2 linked regions of the Caenorhabditis elegans genome follow. The protein of the gene in region 2 interacts with the protein of the main gene of each other region in a pairwise test. Each region holds a gene or a part of one and is shown on either strand. Other genes may lie near its edges.

The links.
Region 1: the proteins of ztf-18 (region 2) and K04G7.1 interact in a two-hybrid assay, tested with the Caenorhabditis elegans proteins (one large-scale study listed by BioGRID).

What each region holds. Positions count from the first base shown.
Region 1 is NC_003281.10:7,160,659-7,165,586, reverse strand, and holds K04G7.1 (Integrase zinc-binding domain-containing protein), read right to left. Parts: upstream 2,876-4,928; 5' UTR 2,834-2,875; coding exon 2,777-2,833; intron 2,734-2,776; coding exon 2,624-2,733; intron 2,576-2,623; coding exon 2,345-2,575; intron 2,300-2,344; coding exon 1,975-2,299; intron 1,858-1,974; coding exon 1,561-1,857; intron 1,501-1,560; coding exon 1,221-1,500; intron 1,174-1,220; coding exon 1,031-1,173; intron 982-1,030; coding exon 748-981; 3' UTR 627-747; downstream 1-626. Other genes in the region: Pre-mRNA-splicing factor syf-2, read left to right, coding at 3,472-3,600, 3,648-3,999, 4,048-4,271; rnp-7 (U1 small nuclear ribonucleoprotein 70 kDa), read left to right, coding at 4,437-4,586, 4,631-4,813, 4,860-4,922.
Region 2 is NC_003281.10:890,671-897,793, forward strand, and holds ztf-18 (C2H2-type domain-containing protein), read right to left. Parts: upstream 4,989-7,123; 5' UTR 4,935-4,988; coding exon 4,791-4,934; intron 4,744-4,790; coding exon 4,678-4,743; intron 4,629-4,677; coding exon 4,497-4,628; intron 4,431-4,496; coding exon 4,165-4,430; intron 3,483-4,164; coding exon 2,669-3,482; intron 2,328-2,668; coding exon 2,186-2,327; intron 2,138-2,185; coding exon 1,761-2,137; intron 1,166-1,760; coding exon 710-1,165; 3' UTR 656-709; downstream 1-655. Other genes in the region: T24C4.10 (uncharacterized protein), read right to left, coding at 402-434; F23H11.2 (TATA box-binding protein-associated factor RNA polymerase I subunit B), read left to right, coding at 5,116-5,217, 5,269-5,468, 5,533-6,186, 6,233-6,362, 6,409-6,501, 6,697-6,935, 6,986-7,123.

The sequences.
Region 1 (4,928 bases), 6.3 Mb from region 2:
CGGAAGCCGAAAATAAAGAAAAACCGTCAAATTAAGACGAAAATGAATTGTTTTTGCAAAAAAAGTGTCTGAAAATTATTGGCGGCAAAAGTGGTCCGTAAACACGTTCACGATAAAATGCACAGGGGTACGGTTTGTGAACCGTAACTCCAATATAATTCGATCTGTTTTATCGAATTTTTGTTTCAAATCTTTTCTTTTCACTTTCTTTGATAGAAAAACCTTTTTAAACAATCAGACTAACCCTTTTGTATACATAATAGCTTGCCTTGCCAGTAAGTGAAACAAATCTTCAAGTTTTCAAACTAGTACCGTTGTATCTCTCGTGTTGTCGAAATTGAGTATCCTTAACGAAAATAAAGCAAAGCCAAGTCCAAACAGAAGTTTTTGTTAGAGAATAGTGTAGACTAGCTCGATACGAGTTAGGAATAATTCAAAAAAACATTAAGTTCAATTTTTTACGCATCGATTTCATATTGATGTGTTGAGGAAAAGTTCACGTAATGCTAATATCAACGAGACGATCCTGTTCACAGCAGTAATGAATGAAATAAATTCCTTTAAAACTTTTAGAAAGATAACATCCTTTTTTGAGTTGAACTTCTGTGATAAGGATGACTTCATGTTTTAATCTTTTTAGGATTCATTACAAAACTGTCACAAAATTTCAGATATAATTAAGGAAAAAGATCGTATGTGAGTTTAGTTATTAAGATATTGTCAAACAATAAAGAAACATGTAAGCTTCTACTGGTGACGAATGTGCCGACGGGGATTTTGCGGAACCACTTCTTCCTCTACTTCCTCGTACACTTGGTGATGATTTTCCATGACATGATGATGCTCAACTTCGAGTTGTTCTTCCTGAACTTCCTCTTCTTGTTCGATGTATCGGGTGATTGGAATTCGCATGGAAGCTTCATACTGTTCATGGAGTAGTTTTTCTTGCATTTTTTGTAGATGAATATGACGTTGGAGTGCCTGAAACGTGTCTTATTATAATTTCAATTTTGGTTTTCATGCGAAATACCTCGATCTGCAGTTTGCATACTTCATCATTGGTGGATGGCGCCATAATAACGGGAGGCAATCCTGCATTATCACCACGAAGAATAGACGAAGGATCAGGGTACTCGATCAGATGTGGATTTGAGCGATTTACTTCGGTGTTATCTAAAAATTTCCAACATTCAAAATAAGACTGAAATTTAAAAACCTACCTATTCTATCCGAGTCGCCGATTGCCAGACTGAAACGATTTGCCATTCCTCGAATACTTGGCAACTCTCGCCTTCTCTTTTTCAAAAGTCCAGCTGTAGTCGTTGGAGTTGGTGATAATTGTCGTCCAGATGACTCATAATCTCTCATATCTCTCGTCGTTCTTCCAGTTCTCATCTCCAAATGACGTTTTTGACTATATCTTTGCTGTTCATGGTTCATTTTTTGTGGTGATGCTGAAGACGTCGATTCTTGAGAACGAGAAGAGACAGCAAGATTTCCCTGAAAATAATTTGTTTTGATCGGAATTCAATAAGAACACTTGACTCATTCATTTCTTACCTCATCTTCCGTTTTGAAATTATTCGAGTTCAGTACTGCTCCGCCAACAGTTACTGGATGTGCATTGGGCAGTTCTTCATCTTTTCTTTTAACTTCTTCTCTTGATCTCATCATTCCATCGTCCATTTCTGGAACTGTTTCATACATCATATCAGGATGATGAGTGAACATGTCGCGCCCAAAAACTTCGATAAACTCGGGTTCTGTGGCACGAGATCTTTGGTGAAATGGAAGAAGATATCCAACTGATTGATTTTTGTGTTTCTTCACATATGGTTGTCGACGGAACGTTGGCGGCTGCAAAATATTTTTTAAAAATTTGAAAATGCAAATATTGTGAATTTGGCAATAATTAAAGTAAATTTAAAACGATTTTTGCTTAGAGTTGTAGAGAATCTCAGATTCTTAACGTACCCCAGTCTGCTGATGGTTACTGTATCTGCTTCTGAATGCATGCTCAGTTTCTTTGAATGTATATGATGTCATCCTTGTAAATGATGCTTCGCGAACTTCATCCTCATTGTATCCCACCAATTGAAACTCAAATCGATCATTTCCGCTGGAAGAATCTCTAACAAGCACGGAAATATCAAAATGCTCAGAGGTAATATCCACAGGTGCTTTTGTTATTTTTCTGCCTTGTATTTTCTTTGCTGTACAAAAATCACAAGAGGCAATAAATGTTTTAACATCTTGTCGAACCGACCGCCAGTAGAGTTTCCGAAGCACGACCATCTGCCTATAAGTAACAATTGTCAGCTATTATTATAGTAGTTTTACTTACGTTCTTTTCTGCCCAAGATGACCAATAAGTTCGTGAATTCTCTCAAGGACTTTTTGAACTTCTCCTTTCTTCACTACTACTTTTGGAATAGTATTCGCAGACTTCTCGGGATTGTAATACAAAAGAGTTTCCCTATCGTCCGCCATTGAAAAACATTTACAACGAGCTCTCCAATGACTCGGCGCACTACGATCAAGACGAGAGGAGACACTTGCAGGAACTTGGTCCGTTCTGGAATAATGCTTTAAATTTATATTACTCAGGAAAAATTTTTTTTACGTTTTGAACATAACAATATCTTGATATTGGTCAATTGGCATTCCACCATATTCGCTTCCATCATGGGCTTCATAGTGAATACTGTCATCTTCATCATTTGCAACCATTTCCTTAAATTTGAATAAAGAAAATTAATGATTCAAGCACACTCACTCTCATATCATTCATATCGTCATCCACTGCAATTTCCTCATATCCTTCGACTACCATGTTGTCGTCAACTATCTCAGTACTGTTCATTAACATCATCAGCTGAAATTTAAATTAAAATTTTAAGAAAAAACTCAAAGTGCCCAAAACAACAAGAACGAACAATTGGAATAATGTTGAGTACTTTTAAATGGTCTATTATAAATATTTTTGAATTAAAATATATTTTTAATATGTTTAAATTACCGCCAGAGTGAGCAGAAAAGGCCCGAAACGTCACATATTGACGCGTTCGGTGTGACGAGCGCAAGACTAGACGACCGCGACGCGACCGCTACGCAGCGGAGAGAAAAGAAAATTGTGCAAGTGCGCTGTGTTGAACTACTCGCCCAGATTAATTTTCGCAATTTTGACTCGATTCTCAGCATTTTCAACTAGAAAATAAAGTTTTTATTTCCATTTTTGAACTCCTTATCGATAGTACCATGCTTATTTCTAAGAAAGCCTTCTTTGTTTCGCAAAGCTGGATAGTATTAATATGTTTTGAACATGTAACTATCGGTTTAAAAAATATAGATTGTAAATGAATTCAAATCATATCGGTTCTTCTTTTTCTGATGTTCAAAATATTCTGTATTCCGTTTCAATGTAGCTTTTCTTCTCAACTTTCTGGATTTCTCTTCAACACTTTTTCCTAGATGTCTTCCGAATCACAATCGAGCAGCAGTGGGCCGTCGTCCAGTGGATCAAAAATGAAGGATTTCAATCAGAGGTTCCGTGATCTTCACAAACTCCGCCAAAGAGCGAGAAAAGAGAATCACGAACAGGTTAGTGTTTTAACGTTTACATTTTCAATTATAATTTAAAATTGTAGGTCGTTGAAGAAGATCGTCGCAGCAAACTTCCAAAAAACCACGAAGCAAAAAAGGAAAGAGATCAATGGCAGGTTAAAGAGCTACAAGATCGAAAAGCTGCAGAAGACAAGGGATTGGACTATGAACGTGTTCGCAGTTTAGAGATGTCTGCAGATGTTACTGAGAAGCTTGAGCAAAAAAGAAAGAGAAAGAAGAACCCAGATCAAGGATTTACTTCTTACGAAGATATGACTCTTCGTCAACATACTCGCCTGACTGCTGCTCTTGATCCAGATCTTGATTCTTACAAAAAGATGAGAGAATGCGTTGGAGGGGAACAGTTTTACCCAACTGCTGACACACTTATTCATGGTAAGGAGCAAAACTCATAATTTCAAAGAAAAACCAAAGAGTTTTCAGGAAATCACTATCCGACAACTGCTGCAATGGATAAGCTCACTAAAGATGTTCACGGCCAAGTTAAAAGACGAGAACAATATCATCGTCGTAGACTTTATGATCCTGACGCGCCAATTGATTACATCAATGAGAAAAACAAGAAATTCAATAAGAAACTGGACAAGTACTATGGAAAGTACACAGAAGATATCAAAGACGATTTGGAACGTGGAACAGCTATCTGAAACCGAGGATCGCTTTTTTATTTTCTTTTTCAGACATTTTTTCAACTTTTTTTCTTCTTTTGTTTTGTTCTTCATCTTCCCATTCCATACTATTTTCTCTCTTCTATTCGATAATCTTTGTACCTACAAAACTCAAATAATAAATAAAAATTATTTTCAGGTGACATGACGGCATTTCTACCTCCCAATCTTCTGGCGCTTTTCGAAGCACGACCACCAGTGCAATATCTTCCACCATGCCAGGACCTACTAGTGGACAAAAATGCTAAAAGGGCTCCGATGACTGGAGTTGCTCAATATATTCAATTATTTGAGGTTTGAACGTAACTTTATTATTTTGGAAGCTATTTTTTTTTCAGGATCCGAAAGATACTCCAGCAAAAATCCCAGTAGTAACAAAAGCTGAAGCAAAAGAAGAAAAAAGACGACAAAAAGATGAATTGTTAGCATATAAAGTAGAACAAGGAATCGCCACGTGGAATCCAGCTGAGAATCCAAGAGCTTCGGAGGATCCATATCGCACTCTATTCGTTGGACGAATTGCACGTTTTTTTAAATGTTAGAATGTGTTTTAGTTTATATTTTCAGAACTATGAAACGTCTGAAAGCAAGTTGAGACGAGAATTCGAAGCGTATGGTAAAATTAAAAAGGTAAGT
Region 2 (7,123 bases):
TTTGTCTTTAAAGTCGAAAAGTGGAAAAAAGGCACAGTGTTTTAGTGAAACCTGTTTCATTTGAATGAATACCTCCAAATAAGTTCATACAAAACATTTTGCTGCAGTGTGTAGAGAGCTTTGAGATGGAAAAAACTTGTTGAATTTTGCAGTGCATTTTCTCACCACGTTCGGAGCTTGTAGAATCGGTCCAAAATTTTGATTTACTTTAAATGGATGTTTTAAAAAAAGCTTCCGATTGCCGCATTGAACTAGACACCCGTAAAATCATTAAATATTGCATAAAAAATGCACTATTCAACTACATCTAAATGTTTTATTGGAACCTATTTCAAAGGTCCTCATTCGAGTAATACAGAATTTCAATCAGAAGTCATTGCCAGAAAATGTTAAAAACCAACCTCTTGGCGCACACCACATCCATTTAACGTCATTTCTTATTGGAATATACGTATACAAATTTAAAACCGACTGTTTCAGTCAAACAGTCATAAAATTGAAAAGTTTATGATCATTTGAGGAGAGACAAACCGGAAAACCCTACACACCGCTTCGAAGAGAGCACGGAGCATACATCAAAAAATCAAAAACTTGTTATCAACCCTCATCATTTTTGGACGTAGATTATCACACTTTTGTTGGAATTTAAATGTCTATATTCAAAGTATTTATGAGTTTTAAATAAAAAAGGAATTAAAGTAATTTCAAGTTATTCAACATAGTCATCTAGATTTTTTGGTCTGATAGTTCTTCTCGCTGATGATCGCCTAGAGACTGTAGATTCCACGAATTCATCATTATTCGATAGTTTCTTCTTTTTTCCCGCCGATTCTGATGGCGACTTTCTTCTCCTGCCACGTTTCGGCGTGGAAGGACCATCATCTCGTTTATCATCAGCATACTCGAAGAGGATTTCCTCTGAAATTGCATTGACCGAATGTTCCATAATTTCCTCTTCGTCGACTCCCTCAATATCAATATGCTCGGAGGCCATTGGAATTTGATTTGGTTCCTCTTCCTCCTCCTCTGTATCCAAATGTCTTTCTGTTGGTTCCATTGGCTCTAGAATTGGTGGAGCCAGATCTTCTGGATCTTCGACAGTTATTTCACTTTCAAGGCGCCGTCGTCCAACTTCATTTAATATTTGTTCTATTGGGGTAGAATCCTGCAGAAAATACATATTTTTAGATTCCAAAAAAAGTTTCAAAGTTTTTTAGTAGTGGATAGTTTTTGAGCCGAGACTCTAGACACACTATCAATGGAACATATGTATTAAAGGTGAAGTAGAGACAACATTTTTCGTCTCAAATGACAGAAAATAGACCCTATTAAACGAATATAACTGTAAAACTTAAAAAACAATGTTTGAATTTGAATTCCCGCTCTAATAAATTAAGTCATTTTCTACATTTCAGCGCTTTCTGGCTAAAATTGCCCGTTTCCCCAGATTGTTTCTTCTATATTTGATTGAAACTCTGTTTTCAACTTTCAAACTTTTTTCCGTGAAGAAAACTTGATAACCCGATAGAAATTGACCTAAAAGCGGCAATTAAATATTTATTTTTTTTTTGAAATTTGTTTGAAAAATTGACAGATGGTGTTTTAAATCAAATATAGAAGACAAATCAAGAAAAACCATTAAATTTAGCCAGAAAACGTGAAAATGTAGAAAATGACGTCACTCGTTTGCGCGGGAAATTAAATTTAATTCGGCTGTTTCTTTGATTTTTGCAAATTGCAAAATGATGCGTAACACTCACCTGTAAATCCTTCTCAGCTTCCTTACTGGAATCTTTGTTATACGCAATAAACGATGAGAGCGCTGCGTCCATTTTCGCGTAAGACTCGTCGTTTTCCGGATATACCGAATGAAATCTGCAGTGCTCTCTTCCAACAAGTTTACAACAAAATCGAGACATTTGGTTTGTACATAAACAATTTCTGAATAACAAGCATCTCGACGATTCTCGAGCTATATCTCCCATAGCAGTTAGATCATATTTTTGTGATGATTCAATGCCCATACATGAGCATAATAGTCCAGCAATTGATACTTTCTTGGAAGTCATTGACATTTCGCTGATTTCATGAATTGTTGGAAGAAGATCGAACACGCTGACCCATGCGTAGATGTTTCCTGAAAATATTTGAGAAACAAAATTTGTAATTATCAAATCTAACAAACTTTCTGATGGCCATGGAGAATCGGAGCTTGTGTAGTGAACTTTGAACGGATAGTATGGGTTTGATGGATCGACTTCTCCAATGTAACCGAAATAATATTGTGTGTTGTTTCCACGTCTTGGTTTTGTGATTCCTTTGCGTAACTGAAATAAATATGTTTCTTTAGGAGAAAAAAAACATATTTTGATATAAAATATGCTATATGTATTACGGGAACTCGAAATTCTGTGAATGCGTATCACGCAACATATTTGACGCGCAAAATAACTCGCAGCGAAAACTACAGTACCTCTTTAAATAGCTACTGTAGAGATTGTGCCGATTTTCCTTTTTTTGTATTAATTTCTCGCTTTTTGCTTCGCCAAAGACGAAATATGAAAGATCAGAAAATGTTCGGTTTTTTATGATTTTTTTGTTGAGAAATCTGAATTTTTAATTTACAAAATGTTCCGTTCTTCGAAATATAAATTTTCGAATTACTTACAAAGACTTTTCTTCCAGGTTCAAAACTAGTGTTCAATCGATTCTCAACACCTTCCTCTTCATTTCTCAATTCTGAATGATAAGAAATATACTTGTCGTGAATGATTTCTTGATTATCTCCATTATGATATAAATTAGGAGCTTTTCTATTGAACATTCGTTCGAATGGCGTCTCCATTCGATCAGGAATCGGTTTCTGATTATATTCCATTACGAGAAATTGCAATTGTTCTACCCATCGGTTTCGTGTTCCAAGCTCATTTTGAGCTAGTTCCAGAACCCATCGTTCTAGACAATTATACGGAAGCGGTTCATTCCAAACTTCTCGAATTTCCACAGCATACACACTTTCCAATGATTTTATTGTATCCCGGATGTATGTCGGCGAGAATGATGTTGAAAATCCCTCCGGAACACCGTATTCATTAAAAATCGAGTTCAAAATTCGTCCGATCGCTGTTCTTGTGCACTCGAAAAGTGGTTTCGCCCACAAAAATCGTGTTTTCAGACAAGTGACGATGAGAATGTTGTCGTATATTTTGTTTCCATAAATTGAAGTTGGCATCTCATGAACATCGATTTGAACATATTGCATTGGATGATTAGCCCAACATGCTGGTTTAATGGGGAACACTATATCCATTGGTCTAGCATTATCTGCATTGCTATTCTGAGATTCTGTGTCAGGAGCATGACCGATGTGATAGAGCTGCATGAACGTATGTACTTCACCGCTGGAGGATTCGACACGGTATGAGATGACTGAGGGGCACGCTGATCCTTCTTTCAACATTCTTTCACGTGGGAGTCGGTGTCTGGAAGAAGAGACATTATAGGTGGAGTACCGAAATAGTTTTAGTTTGAAACTGGCTCGAAAGTTGTCTGAAATTCCGTTTTGGGCCTATAACTAGAACAAGAACTAAAAAATTCGTTACTCATTTAAAGGTGGAGTACCGAAATCTGAGACTGCTTTTTTAGAGCCAAAATGGTCCAAAATTATCAAATTTCGCAATGAGACGCTCTGAAAATGTTTTTTTTAAGTTACGGCCGCTTAAAGTTTTGGAAAATATACTATTTTTTGCTAAAGTCTCAAATTTTGGCAACTTATCAGAGTCGCAGCGGTTGGAACTTAATTTTTATTCAATTATCACTCCTTAATTGATATTTGGTCCTTTATTAGATGTTTATTCCTCGATTTAATTACATTTTAGGCCAGTTCCAAAAAACTTCAAAAATTGTGGAATGTGACTTTCCGCGGGAGTTTTTTGTTCGAAAAGAGAAAAAACAGCGAAATTCTCTGATTCCCTGGGAAAAATCGTGCGTACTGTTTCTTACGTCCTGAGTAGATTTGGTTGCGTCTTACGTAAAGTGAAGCTCCTAAATAAACTTGCGCAACTCCTGAATGGCCTCGAATTCCTAGATAGTCTTGAATACTGTCACACCTCCTACGTAGTTCAGTGATCTTTTTCTATCACAGCCGATTTTTTCCAAACTCACTTCTGTGTTTGTAACACCAATTTGTGCTCACTCTTCGAGCAGTGCATAACCTGTCTGCGATATTTCGGTTGTTTTGTGTGCATCATGAATCTACATCCCGATGCAAGTTCGACCAAATGTCGAAACTTCTCGAACTCTCCGATATTCACAAAAGATTGCAAGTGAATTTCTATCGGAAGCTCATGCTGCTGGCTAAGATGGCGTCGAAGGGTGTACAAAGAAGCGAAAACTTCCCGGCAGTCTCCAAGGGGACACATTACGTTGTTCTGGAAATTTCACAAATTTTATTAATTGATTAAATCAAAAAATCCGCCGCCGCCGCCGCCACTCACATTAAAACTTCCATGGCATTTGTATCGATGAGCTACAAACGTCGATCTGTCCTCGTATTCCGTGTTTTTTCCAGTTCGCATGCAAATTTTACACATGAATGTTCCATTTTCAGACTCGTGTGGTTGGTATATCTGAAATTCTTTTAATTTTTGCCTGATTCGTTTCCGTATAGAATCTTACGTCATACACAGCATTCCGATCATTGGCTATACTCAACGGGTCGTACTCTATATATTCGTCATCATCCTGAAAAAGACTTGATGTTTCAAACAAAAAAAGAACAAATTGATTACCGCAAAGATCACTTCCTCTCCGTCGACAACTGCGATTTCTGCTTGAATTTCGTCGCCGGTGACTACTATTACATTCTCTTCCAGTTCAATCGGTTCTTCCGAATTTTCATTTACTTCTACAGATTTTGAAGTCGATGGCAGCATTTTTTAAGAAAAAACTATGGCGTTTTAAAAATATGCGAGAGACAAATTTTATGTCGGAATTCAAAATGTTCTCCCGTGTCTGCGTCTAGGCTCTCTACTCTCCCTTGCAGACAGAGCGTACTTCCACACCTCTCGGAAAACAGCAAGAATATTTATTTTCATTATTTTCATTATCAAACACATGCACTCAGCAAAAAATGAAAAATGCAATGCCTGTGGCGGTTACCGATTTTCCGTTAATGACGGATTCAAATATTGCGATAGATGTGGCGCTTTATTTGAGGTATATTAAAACAAATTTAATAAATCTCGATTCATCTTAAAAGCATTTCAGAATTTTGAAGAGCTTGAGGAAGAAGAAGGAGGATTACAACAGACCGTTGGACAAGGAAAAGTGAAAGTTCGAAAAAATGATGATCAAAAACGAGTTCGAAATAATGCAGCACCAGTAAATCTTCCAAAAGCACAAGTGATGCGGGAAGCTCTCGAAAAACGAAGCGATTTCTTGCAACAACAGGCAATTAAAGGAGAAGAGTGGGTAATTTAACCTTTGCAGTGCAGTTTGAAGTTCACAGTCATTTATATAAAAATGTTTCAGACTCGAGCTACCACATGACGCGACACCCGACTACTTATACCGGCTGGCACTCCGACTGTTCTCTTTCACTCAAATTCTCGCGAAATCCGGACACATTCTGGTCCACGAGCTCAATTTCGAATCACGGGTTCAGGAAAATATTCTCGCCACTTTTCAAAAATACCTGGCGCACTGTCAAGTAGCATTTTGCCATTCTGAACAATGCGGCAATGACGAGCATCTTCGATTTGTAGCAGTCATGGAAAATCTTCGATACGAACAAGAAGAGCGAGAAGAAAAGCAACGAAAAAGAATGGCGAAGCGTGGAAAAGGAGTAAATGCTTTGAGCAAGTCTGCAGCAGCATGGACCCTTTTAACCCAGGGTAATATCACTGAACACTTGGACATAGCTTCTGATGAAGACGGAGATCAAGATGCTCAAGGAGGGCAGCAACTTGATGACTTAACGTTAGAAACCACACAGAATCCAGATGAATCAATCCGTGTGAACGATACTACAATGGGATTTGTCCGAAAAGTGACGACGGCACTTTCTAAAGAAGCATTACGTCGCGCGAGTCAACTGATTTTAAATTTAGAAATGCTTGTCGCAATCCTCCATTCGGCGTTGATGTCTTCAGGCTATCAGACTATTCTAACATCTGACGTTGTTAGGTGACAAATATCATCTGAAACTTCTATAGAACGTTCACAATTTCAGGTGGATTCGAGAAGACCGTTTTCGAATTTCTCGTCGATCTATCCGCCTGATCCGTCAAAGTCAGCCGGAACGAATGAAACAAGGAGAGGTGGTGAAGCCGACGATTGTCGATTACGCCGAGCCATTTCTAGTGCGTTTTCTCGAATCTAGTCCTGCGTGAATATGCTTTTTTCCAGCGTTTTCCGCTCTACGAAATCATGCGAACTTGTACGATCTTTCATCAATCACTCAAATTGGCAAGCAGCATGGCTCCGCAAAGCTTTGAAAGTGTTCGTGACAAAGAATTCCCAAAGTTAAAATGTTACTTTTCATGAAAAAATAATGTGTTTACTCAAAATTAAGACTGTGGGTCCTCGCACGTACGACTCATTTTACCCTTTTTAGAATTTTCAAAAACGAAAAATCAATCATGAAAAAAGATATCAACAAGAAAACATGTAATCACTTTTTTCACTCCCTTCCAGATGTCCGCTCGTCTCGTGGATAATCTGAATCTTCCTTCAGACATTCTCAGTCGAATGCTTATACTGGAATCTATAATTCCATGTGATGTGAGCCCACAGCTTCTGAAACAAGTCGACGTGGATATGGGATATAATTGTGGACAACTAGCGGCAATGTCTCCGAATGTTTATTATTCGGGATTTCTAACAAGTTTCGGAAGAAAGGAACGAGGCACACAGGATGCCGATTTTTGTGACGAGTGAGTAACCTGAAAACGATTTTCGCGAAAAGTAACCCTTTTGGTTTCAGAGTATTACTGTCTCCAGATGCAAAACTCATTGCTTATCTTCTTTTAACTCTTCGTTTAACATTTCAACTCGATAATGCTCAATGTGCTCTGCAGGATGATCAATATTTTGATGTCGATTCATGGATTCATCAATTAGA